Oryzias latipes: one gene and its partners. The protein of the gene in region 1 interacts with the protein of each later gene in a pairwise test. Links are inferred from orthologs where the notes say so. Each region holds a gene or a part of one and is shown in the gene's direction. Other genes may lie near its edges.

Evidence for each region.
Region 2: the proteins of ciapin1 (region 1) and ndor1 interact in binary tests that used the Homo sapiens proteins (3 or more experiments, as listed by UniProt). The two-hybrid records come from large-scale screens. The link is inferred for Oryzias latipes from reciprocal best matches to the Homo sapiens genes CIAPIN1 and NDOR1.
Region 3: the proteins of ciapin1 (region 1) and glrx3 interact in binary tests that used the Homo sapiens proteins (3 or more experiments, as listed by UniProt). The link is inferred for Oryzias latipes from reciprocal best matches to the Homo sapiens genes CIAPIN1 and GLRX3.

What each region holds. Positions count from the first base shown.
Region 1 is NC_019864.2:27,442,037-27,446,693, reverse strand, and holds the start of ciapin1 (anamorsin), read left to right. Parts: upstream 1-1,540; 5' UTR 1,541-1,605; intron 1,606-2,594; 5' UTR 2,595-2,600; coding exon 2,601-2,757; intron 2,758-2,926; coding exon 2,927-3,070; intron 3,071-3,446; coding exon 3,447-3,526; intron 3,527-3,933; coding exon 3,934-4,102; intron 4,103-4,301; coding exon 4,302-4,378; intron 4,379-4,657. UniProt on the Homo sapiens protein: Component of the cytosolic iron-sulfur (Fe-S) protein assembly (CIA) machinery required for the maturation of extramitochondrial Fe-S proteins.
Region 2 is NC_019870.2:30,175,848-30,180,629, reverse strand, and holds the start of ndor1 (NADPH-dependent diflavin oxidoreductase 1), read left to right. Parts: upstream 1-1,495; 5' UTR 1,496-2,402; coding exon 2,403-2,684; intron 2,685-2,952; coding exon 2,953-3,030; intron 3,031-3,491; coding exon 3,492-3,589; intron 3,590-3,669; coding exon 3,670-3,768; intron 3,769-4,085; coding exon 4,086-4,187; intron 4,188-4,247; coding exon 4,248-4,436; intron 4,437-4,512; coding exon 4,513-4,640; intron 4,641-4,782. UniProt on the Homo sapiens protein: NADPH-dependent reductase which is a central component of the cytosolic iron-sulfur (Fe-S) protein assembly (CIA) machinery.
Region 3 is NC_019874.2:28,118,600-28,122,699, reverse strand, and holds glrx3 (glutaredoxin-3), read left to right. Parts: upstream 1-1,330; 5' UTR 1,331-1,421; coding exon 1,422-2,402; 3' UTR 2,403-3,095; downstream 3,096-4,100. Other genes in the region: large proline-rich protein BAG6, read right to left, coding at 195-312, 398-478. UniProt on the Homo sapiens protein: Together with BOLA2, acts as a cytosolic iron-sulfur (Fe-S) cluster assembly factor that facilitates [2Fe-2S] cluster insertion into a subset of cytosolic proteins.

The sequences.
Region 1 (4,657 bases):
AAATCAACCTTTTAAGTAATTTGAAGATAGTTGTATTCGCAGAGAGGCACGCCACGCGTCCTGCCGTGTAACCCGGAACCGGGGCTTACCAAACATTAAATGCGTCAATACCACTGTCCTCAAAGGGCCAGATATGACTTATACATGTAACCAAATGTAATTAAAAATAAATGTAACTACTTCTTAATGTTAATTAACTAATTATTTATTTATCATAACTTTTTAAAGAGACAATTGCAGTTGCATAGAAAACACATGATTGCTTGTTACTCTGGCATTAATGAGCGGCCTTGGTCGCCTTTCAGGCAGACTACTCTAGCAGTGTTTTACTCGGTTACTCCCCTACGGCGGTTCAGTTAATCAACTCACCTGTTCAGTGTCCTATTTAAGTCCAGGTGTGCAGTTGTTCACTCTCTTTCTTTACCGAAAGCGCTGCGTTCGTCGCCCCACCCTCCACCCCGGCTTCCACCTGTGAGCTCCGTTAGGGGTAGTTATTACACAAAGGTTTTATGGAAATCTTGTCTCATGGAATTGCACGGAGCCATATGCCAAACTAAAAGAATGTGACAATAAATATTTTTTACTGCATGAGTTGTTTGACTGAAATCCTTTAAATTTGATTTTGTCAGGTTAGGTTATATGGAAAGTGTTTAAGTCCTAATGTATAGTAGCCCAATCCGATCTTTCAAGTCAGATTCACCCTAGATATGAATAAATACACATCAGTTTTTATTTTAATTTTAAGAAATTAAAAACCTTCATGCTCTCGCGGGCCACATAAAATGACATGGCGGGCCACATTTGGCCTTGAGTTTGACAAATGTGCCATAGACTGTAAAAACAATGGACGTATCGAGGTGTGATGTCACCCATAGAAGATGCCATGTTCCACCTCTCGCAAAATGAGGCCAAATCCCTCACCATTGCTTCCTGATATGGGCGCTGCCATGTTGAAACCAGTCAACAGTGATTGGTCCTCGTCACTCTGAGTCATTGTATCTATGGCAACTACTGTCACCAAACAGGAGTGAGCTTATTGTGAGTCCCACCTCTATCCACCCCTCTACATCTTGGACACTGCTTTTCCATTAATGATAAAATTTCTCAAATTGGATTTGTAACAATAAATTCATCTAATGGAAACATGTCGATGGCGAAAACACTTGCATTTATCGTAAAAAATGTTTGTGCTTGGAGGAGGTGGTTTTTGAGGCATATCGAAATGGACATATTTCGCAAAACTGCAATGGACATACTTTTTGTAGTCTATGATCAATTCAATCCTTGTTGCAAAATGACTACAAAAAAGGCTATAAATTTTATCTTATTATCTTGCACTATCACAATTTTTCTTTTTTTTTGTAAGTTTTTGTGTCATTTTTTTAAGTATCAAACTTCAGATAAGCAGTGCTCTAACTAATACTCAGTATTGTATGAAATGCTTTTCAACCTGTTACCATTACTTTTTGGTTTTACCTGTCACATTTGCAGTAACGTCATTCTTCCTGGCCATTGGACTGTTTCACATTTTATTTTGAAAATATAAATCGGAAACTTGCTTCTGACGTCATTAACTCGACTTCGTAACTGTCGACAGGACAGCAGGTGAGTTACGTTTGTGTCCCGGTAAACAATCCTTTAAATGTCTGTGTTATGTTACTTTTGGTGCTTTAATTACAGTGTTACAACAGAAATGCAACATTAAAGTGTTTCATTCGCGCGGAAGCGTTTCCGGGTTCTAACAGTAGATAAATATATTTTTTAAATGTCTCTAGTAATTTAGTTTCTTTCTGCGTCATTGTTTTCTCTTCTTTAATAATTAGCGACTAACTAGCGCATTTTGCTGTCAGAAATCTAATCAATTTTTAGGCACTTTAATTTATTTTTATCAGCAGAATGAAATAAAATAATTTTCTGGATCGTTTCTTTGTTCGGGGTCTTGCTACAGTTTTGTTTACCTTAGTTTGTAACAAAAGCACTGAGCGTGTTAAAAAGAAAATAAAAAAAAATAGAATTGTGTTTTCTAAAACTGCTTCCTTTAAACTTGATATAATAATTCTACAATAAGATGACTTCCAGCTAAAGTTTAAATTTATCTAAGTAATTAATAGGAAATCTAAATACTTTTTTCTGTTTTCATAACTTTTGCAAATATATATAAACTGCTTTGATGAGTTCAATTAAAGCAGAGCTACTGTTTACATACTCGGGGCGTGTTAACATTATAACACAGCTTTTTATAATGTACATTTTGGCAAAATCTCAGTATAAAGTCATCAACTGTCCAGGAATTGTATTTCTAAGGCAACTTGGTAACTGGATCTAATTGCAGTTTTCTTTGACTTTGGCAGATCGGCAACCTGTTATTTCCTCTCCTAGTATTATAACTTTGTTGCTGCATAAATACCACCTTCCTTGCTTTGTATTGTTTGCCGCTTTGCAGTTTAAGTTGCTGGAATTTAATGGGCAAACATCAGTAATCGTCACTTGCAGCCCGCATGTACCATCCTGTCTGTCGATGGAGAAGTCCTCCTTCTTTCTCCAGGAAGCTGCAAATAAGCTGAAGTTTGTCTTGCATTGCATTCCTTTTTAAGTCAGCGATGGCCGACCTTGGCATGAAAGCGGGAGACAAAGTCCTGCTGGTGTGGGCACAGCCGTCAACGCCTGCCGCCTTGAAACCGTACGCAGAGGAACTGGGAGCTGCTGTTGGTGCAGATGGAAAAGTTTCTGTGGAAAACATGGAGAGACTGGTGCTTTGTGAGTTATTCTAAAAAAAAAGAATGGATTTTTTTTCATGAACAGAATCATTTGTGCTTGAGAAAATCATGGAGAGCATCAGAGTTTAACATGAATGGTTTGTTTTATCAGACTAACATTTGTTGTACTTGAGGAAACGCCTCTGACAGAAATCCTCTCGCCTTCTCAGCTGCTCACCCTGTGTCCACCTATGACTGGGTGCTCTCCTGCCTTCTGACTGACAGCTCTTCCACCCATAGTCCAGAAGCTCTAGCAGAGATGATCAGAGTTCTAAAACCCGGTGGGAGTTTGGTCCTGGAAGAGCCAGTTACGGGTAAGAGACCCACTTTTAGGGGTTTAAAAGAAGACCAGATGGGTGAAGAGTTCAGTGTTTTCCCTGCAGCTGCTGCAGAATCTCCTCCCGTTCTCCACATGAGTTTGGTGATTATGATCAAAGATGGAAGTCTGCATTTATGCCAGAGGCTGCTTTCAGTTTTGGTTGTTTTTACACTTTAATCAAAGTTAAACTGACATGAAACTTTTTACATTTTAGGACGAGGTATTATTATTTTAAAGCTGCACATCTGAGCAAATTGTGTCCTGATTCAGTTCATATCTCTTGTTAGATTCAGACACTCAAACCAGTGGAGATCAGAAAAAAGGCGTTAAAAGCCAGGATTGTGTTTTTTCCTTTTCCGTTTGTGTTGCAGCCACAGAAGCACAGAGCGTGAGAACGGCAGAGAAGCTGGTGTCGGCGCTGAAACTGTCTGGCTTCATGTCAATAACAGAGGTGATGGCATTCACACATTTTGGACTCACAGCGTTCGTCTGCGAGGGTGTGATGACTTTTTCAAACTTCAGTTGGTTCACTGCAACTCAGTTAAACGTGTTTTTTTCATTCAACTCAAAGGAAAATTATTTGTTATGGTTTCAAACAATTGTTTAGGTCTAAAAGTTTTTTAAAGAACATGATCTTCATCACAGATATAACAAAGTTTTAGCTGTAAGTAATCATTGAAAAATATTCTCATAGTTCTTAACATTAAGTAATTCATAGTGAAGAATTTTTATTATTCAAAACATTTTGACGCTGATGAAATGTTAAAATATATCTAAAGTTAAGTTAGTTTGAATCTAGATCCTACTTTTTTGTGTACTTTAATATTTCACATTTTCCTCGTCTTTCTTTCCTTTCAGGTCAGTAAATCGGAGCTCACTCCCGCCGCACTGAGCTCTCTCAGGGAGACCACTGGTTACCAAGGAGACGCCCTGTCTCGAGTGCGGATCAAGGCCTGTAAACCCAACTATGAGGTGGGGTCGTCCAGCCAGATCAAACTGTCCTTCGGGAAGAAGACGGCAAACTCGGGTCTGTTTCTAAAAGCTATGCTCTTCATCTTCTCTGAAATTTAGATCTAATAACATCAACATCAAAAGGGAAATTATGTTTATTATTTTCAGTTTCATGACTAGTTCTTTTTTTCAATAACAAAAAATAATTTGAATGTCTCTGATTTAGAGAACAATTCGAAGGAAAAACCAAATGTTTTTGTTTGTTTTGTCTTCAGCAGAGAAACCTGCGCTGGACCCAAACACGGTGAAAATGTGGACGCTGTCAGCCAACGACATGAACGACGACGACGTGGTGAGTTCCAGCTGTAGGTCGGAGGTCAACTTCTGTCAGAGTACGGCTCTCTGATCCTCACCACATCACCGACCGCGACGTTGGAGACCTTTGGCAGTATTTCTGTTTTTTACTGACAAATGTGAATAATTCTTGGAGAAGTTTTGCTTTTAAAAGCTTGTTTTAATTGAAATTTCCAAACACATTTTTTTCTTTCAAGGTTTTGCTTCTCTCCTTAAATGCCTCTTTTACTCTCAGCTTTTGTGTTATTTTATCAACAGAAGATAAAAAAAGACAAAA
Region 2 (4,782 bases), on another chromosome or scaffold:
ACCAAAGTAGAACATTAGATAGCAGGAAGAAGGATTTGCATTTCAAATGACAGAAAGATAAAAAAATATTCCATTTTCTTGGACACTTTTACCTTCTCTTTGTTTCAAATATGTATAATTAAGTATTTTATTATTCTCTCAACAGTTTAGAAAAACTCTTTTGCTTTTTCATGAAGGACATCGATTTGCCTCCATGTTTGTAAATGTCAAATAAAGCGGTGAGTTTTGACCATTCAAGGGTCATTAAATACAGTTAGGATCTGATGAATCCTCTCTAACTCATCATGTGTTATTATTATTCTATTAGTCGAAAACATGGATCATAAAATCATGACGATGTTCTGATGGTCCCAGACAAGGGAACTCTACGATGTGGTGAAGCCACCAAGACCTGAACCACTAAACACAGCAGCACAGCTTTTAGTGCAGTGTATTATGGGATGTAGGATAAGATATGAGCTGACCAACAGCTGATCAGCCGCTGACCAACAGCTGATCAACAGCTGACCAACAGCTGATCAACAGCTGATCAACCGCTGATCAACCGCTGACCAACAGCTGATCAGCCGCTGACCAACAGCTGATCAACCGCTGACCAACAGCTGATCAACAGCTGATCAACCGCTGATCAACCGCTGACCAACAGCTGATCAGCCGCTGACCAACAGCTGATCAACCGCTGACCAACAGCTGATCAACCGCTGATCAACAGCTGATCAGCCGCTGACCAACAGCTGATCAACAGCTGATCAGCCGCTGATCAACAGCTGATCAACAGCTGATCAGCCGCTGACCAACAGCTGATCAACAGCTGATCAGCCGCTGACCAACAGCTGATCAACCGCTGACCAACAGCTGACGCCATCAACACATTCACACTGCTGTCAAACTCTGACACTAACCTATAACCACAGGTTTAAACCATTTATCAGTCCAACTTCAACCGGCTTACCTCCGTACCACAGCCACCTGCACTAAATGCGACACTGCAACAGTTTAATGCATCTGGGATTGATTTGATTTGCTTTCATGAGATTGTTTTTACCATTTCCTCTGGGTCTTCTCAGGCACCTTGTTAGAACGGCCTTGGCGTTGGAGGAGAACCTCAGAGGGTCAAAGATGGCTCCCAGGTTCCTGTGCTCCTTCACCTCCATGGCGGATGGCGGGGGCCGTCTGTGTCTGGGGGAGAAGGTCACCACCATCACTTTTGTTGACGTTGAGCTCAGGGTGGGCGTTGAGGTCCGGAAAAGCTGAGCTGTGATTGGCTGGAAGACAGACAGGAGGACAGAGGACCCCTCCTAGAAAGCCCCCCATCTGTCTGACTGCAGCATGGACAGATTCACCGTCTGTGGTCTGAAGCGGATCCTGGTGGACCTCCACTTCAGTAGGTGGCGGTAGTGAGCAGAACTGGAAACCAGACTCCCGCCAATTAACGCCAAGAAGAAAGGCCGGAAGCTGGATGTGGACTCGGGATCCGAAGCGGTAGAAGGTCAGTAGTTTGGTGTCCAACCTGGTGTTCGGGGCAGTTTCAGTCAGAGATACGTAAATAACCACGTGACGTTCCTGTTTGTGTCTGTAACGCAGCCGCGAGATGAAGGAGTCCTGTCTGTGTGTGGTGCTGATCTATGTGAACTACATCTGCAGTGTTCTGCTGCACGGGAATGTGTTTGATAGGAAGAATTAGACACTAGAACTGCCTCTAGTCTGTCTGCAATGCATTATGGGATGTAAGATGGTGTAATCATCCTGGTTACTGAACTCCAGGTTTGTTACAGATCTGTTCTGCCTTCAGACCCACGTGGGTCCAGTTCCTCTTCAGTGATGAAGCAGAACCCGACCAATACTCTGGCAGAAACCAGCAGAAGTTCTGGTTCCGTCTTCTTCACAGACTGACGTTTAGTGAACCTGACCGGTTCTGTGGGATTCTAGTGAGACGGTGAAAGACGGAACCACGTCCAAGTTCGGTCCACAAAGTGGATTTTTTCAGAACTCATCGTGGATCGGATCCACGTTCGTAGAAGGAAAGAATTTTTCTGAGTTTTCTTCAATTCAACTCAAGAAATGTCCGTTTATTTGAACAAAAGTCTGTTTAGTTCTGAAAAAGCCTTTCAGTTTATGAGGGATTCAAACTGTGGCAGCAGCCGCGGCTCAGAGGTGGAGCGGTCGACCACTGATCACAAGATCGAGGTTGAGTTCTGCCCTGTCCGTGTGTCTTTGGGCAAGACGCTGAACCCCATGGCGTATGGGGGCGTGTCTGTCCGTGTCCGTCCGTGTGGGCGTGTCCGTGTGGGCGTGTCCGGCGCTTTGGGCCCTAAAGCTCAGCGTTAAACTGAACAAACATTTATGAGTAAATAATAAAATCTGAACATTTTTACGGAGTCGCTCTAAGAGGAAATCCGCTCATGGCTGGAAATGTTGGATCAGTTGTTTTCAGTTCATCTGAGGAGGACTTTTGGGTCCGTGCACGTGGGTCCGTGCACGTGCAGGACCCACGGACAGAGGAGTTCTGTCAGGTTCTGGTCTGTTCTTTACGTTTCCCTCTAGGCACCATGTCCATCCCGTCCCTGCTGGTTCTGTACGGGAGCCAGACCGGCACGGCCCAGGATGCGGCCCAGAGGATCGGCCGGCAGGCGCAGAGGAGGCGGCTGCCGGTCCGGGTGATGGCTCTGGACAGCTACGCCGTGGTGAGTTTGCTGCGGTTGCTGGAACCGTCAGTCCAGTTGGGCCTCACGGTTCCAGCAGGACTTTTTCAGAGGATTGTGATGTGTGGGATTGGGGTTCTGAAGGTTCTGTTGGTGAGGATGACTAAGTTGAATTTGGGAGGCTGTCTGGATTTATGTGGAGAGAAACAGACTGGTTTTGGACTGGATGCTCAGCAGATCCGGTCCATCCCTGCTGCTCTGCTTCCCTCCGTTAGCCTGGATTCCTCTGCAGTTTCTGTTCCTCCAACAGGCCGACCTGATTGCAGAGTCTCTGGTGGTGTTTGTCTGCTCCACCGCCGGACAGGGAGAGCCTCCGGACAACATGAAGGTAAGAGGGCGGAGTCTCCTGCTGTCAGTCACAGAACAAAGCCAGCTTTCAGAGAGGAAATGGATCCACAAATGAGAGACTGAAGGAAGAGTTTGGCCTTTCCTTCCTGGAAAACCAGCTGCTCCCCCAGGTCCACGCCCCCCCAGAACCCCCCAGATCCTCAGTGGATGTGGTTTTCTGCCATCCTGAGGCGGTTCTGAAGCCGTTTCTGTTTCAGTCCACGACTTTGATGAGGATCATCGGCACCACTTTGGTATCTGACCCCAATTTCAGACCCCCCAGAACCCCCAGACCCCCTGGGAGTGAACCTGTGAGGCTGGTTTGAAGGGAAAGTGTAGAAATATCAAATATTCATTTCACTTCAGTCTCTCTTTTGTGAACTGATCTAGAACACAGATTCTGTGGTTCTGAGGCGACCTTTGAACCCCTGATGGTTTCTCTGCTTGGATCTCTCTTCCCAGAACTTCTGGAGGTTTCTCTTCAGGAAGTCTTTACCCGGGGGCTCTCTGAGCCGGCTGGACTGTGCCGTGCTGGGTCTGGGGGATTCCTCCTATCCCAAGTGGGTCCCATCGCTGAAGGCGTTCGACCCGTTTCTGTGGAAGAGGCGGAGCGTTGACGGCGTTTCCGTCTGTGTTGCAGGTTCAACTTTGTGGCAAAGAAGCTTCATAAGCGTCTTCTGCAGCTCGGCGCCAACATGCTGATGCCTGTTGGGCTTGGCGATGATCAGCACGACGTGGGGTAAGCGTCTGGACGGGAAAAGGGGCGGAGCTCACGGAGGCTTTGGTTCTGCTGGTCTGGGTTCTGAAAACACAGACAGCAGGAACTTGACACAAACCATCATCCTTTGTTGGTTTCATTCTGGCTCAGTGCTGTTCATCATTAGGGGCGTGTCTTTCTAGTTAGGGGCGTGTCTTTCTAATTATGGGGGGGGCCCACTCATATCTTGGCACATTTGAGGGCGGGGTCTTGCACCAGGCTCCTCGCTCAGACCCAATCCTCCGTCCATGTTCTGTGGTTGACCCTGGGGGCGGGGCTGTGTGTGTTGTTTGAATCAGGCCGGACGCCGTCGTGGACCCCTGGCTCGCGTCCTTTTGGGGGTCGGTTCTGGCCCTTTACCCGTCCTTGACCAGTGTGACCCCGTTAAGAGAGGATGAGCGGTAAGATCCACGGATGAAAACGTCTGGGTCTGTGGCCGCCTAATGCTGTCCTCTGTGCAGACTTCCTCCCACGTTCACATTCCACTTCCTGGTGGGCGAGAGAGAGAGCGGCGATGAGAGACTAAGGGTCTCTGAGGGGGAGGCGGGTCCCTTTCGTGCCCGGATGGTTTTCAACAGGAGAGTGACGGAGCCGAGCCACTTCCAGGACGTGAGGCACATTGAGTTTGACGTCACCGGTTCCAGCATGAGGTCAGCGGTGTTCTGGGTTGCCATGGGAACGTCTTCACCTTGGCCTCCAACGGTCTGGGCTGTTTCTGCCCCACAGGTTTGCTGCTGGAGACGTGGTGATGATGCGTCCTCGTAACGCCGCGGAGGACGTGCAGCAGTTCTGTCTGCTGCTCGGGTTGGATCCAGACGCCACTTTCCTTCTAGAACCAACCAGCAACTCTCCAGGTATCCCCGTGTTCCTGGCTGGGCCGAACAGAACCCTGTGACGGGCCCAGACACCCCTCAGTCTCTTCTTCCCTCCATTTAAACCAGTGACTCCTGCCCCCACGGTCTTCTTTCCCTTTAAACTGCCCCAGCGGGGTAGTAG
Region 3 (4,100 bases), on another chromosome or scaffold:
CAAATCAGCAGAAAGAGCAGATGGAACCAAAAACTAATTCAATGACAGAATTTTTACTTAAAAGAAATAGTTTTGAAATGCTCCTTGGTGGTGTGATTGAAAGGAGGCAGAAGGGATGTTCAGATGGAGAGACTCCCTGAAGCAACAAGCTGAAAGGTTAAGAGGAGGAAGATTTAATATATCCTTTGACTAACTGTAGTCTGCCAGCGTCCTTTCATCCTGCAGTACTCTGCCCTGGTAGATGAGCCTCTGTTTGTCCACAGGGATGCCCACTGAAGGAGAAATGTGCTCTTTGAACTCTTTAACTGTCAGCTGCAAAACAATGGATCATTTCAGTCAGATCATAAAAGACAAAAGGAAACTACCCAAATATTTACAGCAGGAACTTTCCATTTACCTGAGCACCGACTGAGTAGGTTCTGCTCTGAGAGTCCAGAGTTTTGACCGTCACTTCTATGTCTGAGGTTTGTTCATCCATAGCGTTCCTGCAATTGTATTACATCTTCAATTACAAATTATTCTGTTTATGTGACTTTTTAAAGTGTTTGTACACTTTTACAAAAATTTTGATAAGCACCAGGTTATTTAACAATCTGTTCAACAAGCATGGTGCGTCCACGGCATGTTTATAAGTTTATGAAGAACAGTGAGCGTAGTTTCCAATTTTTCAGCAATCATCTAGATCACCTCTTCTTTTTAACAAACAGGCAACGTTGAAGTGAATTTATTAACCAGCCTTTAGTCTAGAAAATAAAATCTCTAACTAAGGAATCCGGATAACTACAATCAGCTGAATTATTTAGCTCTAATTTAAAATACATTATTAACTGAGCTATTTCCTAAACAAGAATTTTAATAAACATACAATTAACGTAAAATAGCATCTATATCTTTATGTTAGACTCAGTGGGTTAAATTTGATTTAATGCTTTGTTTTTTTCCCAAAGACGGACTCCCTGTACTAGCGTTAGCCAAAAACAGTTAGCCCGGCTGTATTCGCTAAACAAGGACAGGAGCGATGTAATATTAAACTAAGATTTAGGACAGACAGTATAACAAAAGATAGAAAGTAACATATCGCCACTTGCTCTTCAGCAGGATTACTTTTTTTAGGAACCAAATAAACGCCGACTGGCTAATTAGCCAAACAGATTAGCTAAAGATGCTAACTGATCTGTCGTGTCGCTACTAATGCTTAAGCGCAGAACATTCCGTTTTTTATGCGTCACACCGTCAAACGCTTACCTTTTAAATCATACAATGTTTTTTAACGTATCCAGAGTCCACAGGAGGCTCTTATATTCAGAAAGCCGAGCACTTCTCCGGTGCGTCGCGGCTATGCTACAGCTAACAGCTTTTAGGGCTGAACGGATGTGACGTCAGAAAGCCGCCGGACTGCTGTCGAGGTCAAAGAAGCAAAGATGGCGAATGTGCTAGAGGCGACGAGCCGACAACAGTTCGAGGATTTCCTTGCAAAAGCTGGAAAAAACCTCGCGGTTGTACATTTCCAGGCGGCATGGGCTCCTCAGTGCGGCGACATGAACGAAGTGATGGCCGAGCTGGCCAAGGCACACGCGCACGCGACGTTTGTGAAGCTGGAGGCGGAGGCTGTTCCCGATGTGTCGGAAAAGTATGACATATCCTCCGTCCCCACTTTTATCTTCTTCAAGGGGGGTGAGAAGGTGGATCGTCTGGACGGGGCGCACGCTGCGGAGCTGACTAAGAAGGTCCAGGGCCTGGCGGGTAGCGGGCCCGCCCCAGGAGGAGCCGCGGACGGCGGCGCCGCGGACTTGAACCAGCGGCTGAAGAAGCTGATCAACGCGGCGCCCTGCGTGCTGTTCATGAAGGGCTCCCCGCAGGAGCCCCGCTGCGGCTTCAGCCGCCAGATGGTGGCGCTGCTCAAGGAGCACAGCGTCCAGTTCAGCACCTTTGACATCCTGTCAGACGAAGAGGTCCGTCAGGGCCTGAAGGCGTACTCCAACTGGCCCACCTACCCCCAGCTGTACGTGAACGGAGAGCTGCTGGGGGGGCTGGACATCGTGAAGGAGCTGGCCGAGTCCGGGGAGCTGGAGACCACCTGCCCAAAGGCCGTGACCCTGGAGCACCGCCTGAAGGCCATCATCAACCAGAGCCCCGTCATGCTGTTCATGAAGGGCAACAAGGAGGCGGCGCGCTGTGGCTTCAGCAGGCAGATCCTGGAGGTCCTGAACTCCACGGGGGTGGACTTTGACACCTTTGACATCCTGTCGGACGAAGAGGTCCGTCAGGGCCTGAAGGCGTACTCCAACTGGCCCACCTATCCCCAGCTCTACGTGAAAGGGGAGCTGATCGGGGGCCTGGACATAGTGAAGGAGCTGAAGGAGAGTGGGGAGCTGGAGTCGGTACTGAGGGGGGAGTCGTAGATGGACGGGGAACAGGACATCACTGCACAGGCCTGCACCAGCTGCTGCACCCCTCAGAGGTCCCAGGAGGTCAAAGAAGCTGCTCGTCGGCTTTGATCGTGGGAAACGTTCTTCTTTTTTCACAGACTTTCAGATGACGTGAAGCTGCTGACTCTCCATCCTCATCTTTATGACAAGAACACCACCAGAGAAGCTGAAAATCTACTCATGTTCACTGCAAATTCCAGCCTATAATAAATTTCCCATCAAAATAGAACAAAACGTTTCTATTTGTTTTATTTTTTGCCTGTAAAGAGGTGAACTGGCTGTAGTAAACTGAGTTTACTTTGAAATGAGAAAAAAGTTTGAACAGAGCTCATGCACTAAAGCTCACACTCAATAAAATTGTTAAAAGCAGCAGCATGTCACGTTTGTAATACATGTGGTATAGTAAGCACGTGTGACAGGTTTTCTGGCGCCACCTTGTGGGCGTAAATGTAAAAGCACCAACAGTATCAGGGTTCTGGAACCTTTCACATTAAAAGAACCCAGCAAGAGCCATGAAGTCCAACTTCACTGTTATAAAAAAAAACACTTTATGTTTTTGTGATCATTTATTAATTCATTTATAAAATGTAGCTTTGAAATATTTACAATTGCATTCTAAAATGTATTGTTTTATACACGTAATAAAATTGAATCTATTTTACTTTAGACGGCAGCACATACAAGTTCCTTTCAAAATAAAACACCCTGTGTGAAAAAGCTCCGATTTACTTGAATTTAAAATACATGTCAATCATGACATTTTCTGTCATGACTTTGGGGTGCCTTCGTCCTTTTTCTCATTTCTCATTTTGATAACTAATAGAAACGTGACAGCATTGGTGTAGAATCCTTTTTAAAAAATCTATAAATGTACATGTACCTATGCACTTGAGTACCTTTGCCTCTAAACAGCAAAAAAAAAACGCTGCTACCTTATTCTACCAAATCTTTCTGACAGTAAATGAAATAGCTTACCATCATTTTTGATCAATCGTCTAATATATTAAAAATCCAACCTGAAATGTCAAACTTAATTAACCGTAATTAATAGTAAAGCCAAAGAATGCAGGGATAAAAGTAGCATGTAGTTCTGGAGCCTCAGGTTTCAGACCTCTGGTCTGTTCACTGAGTTTTTTTGTAAAATGATATCACCAGGAGTTAATATTGCATTTCTATTATTTCAAATCGAGTTTTAATACCTAAACTTACTTTTAGTATAAAATGCAAAAAAAGGAGATACTCATTAAGATTGTTTAAACATTTCCTAGTAATCTAAAGGAAAGATGAAGCCAGATTTAAAGGTTTTGTTAAAATTTTACAACGTTTAGAAGATGGATTATGTAAACACTAGGCTTCAAATGTTTAAAGATGGGTATATAGTAGAGTCTTGTTAAATATAGAGCTACCTTAAAGTCCCACTCCAATCTTTTTTTTTTTCAATCCATCGTAAAAGTGTTCCTGGTCTTTTAATTATGATTATGCCGAGCAATAATGGAGCTGTCCAGCCGTAGAGTTTAGATCCAGATTCTGCTCAGGGGTGGAAAATAAAGATGGATCTATTTGTCTGACAGTGGATGAATCAGAAAGGAATGGAGCAGGCAGCTAGTGGCCTGCCTAGGGTATTTTCTACATCACAAATACAATCTTTTTCAAATAGCATTTTTCTTCTGC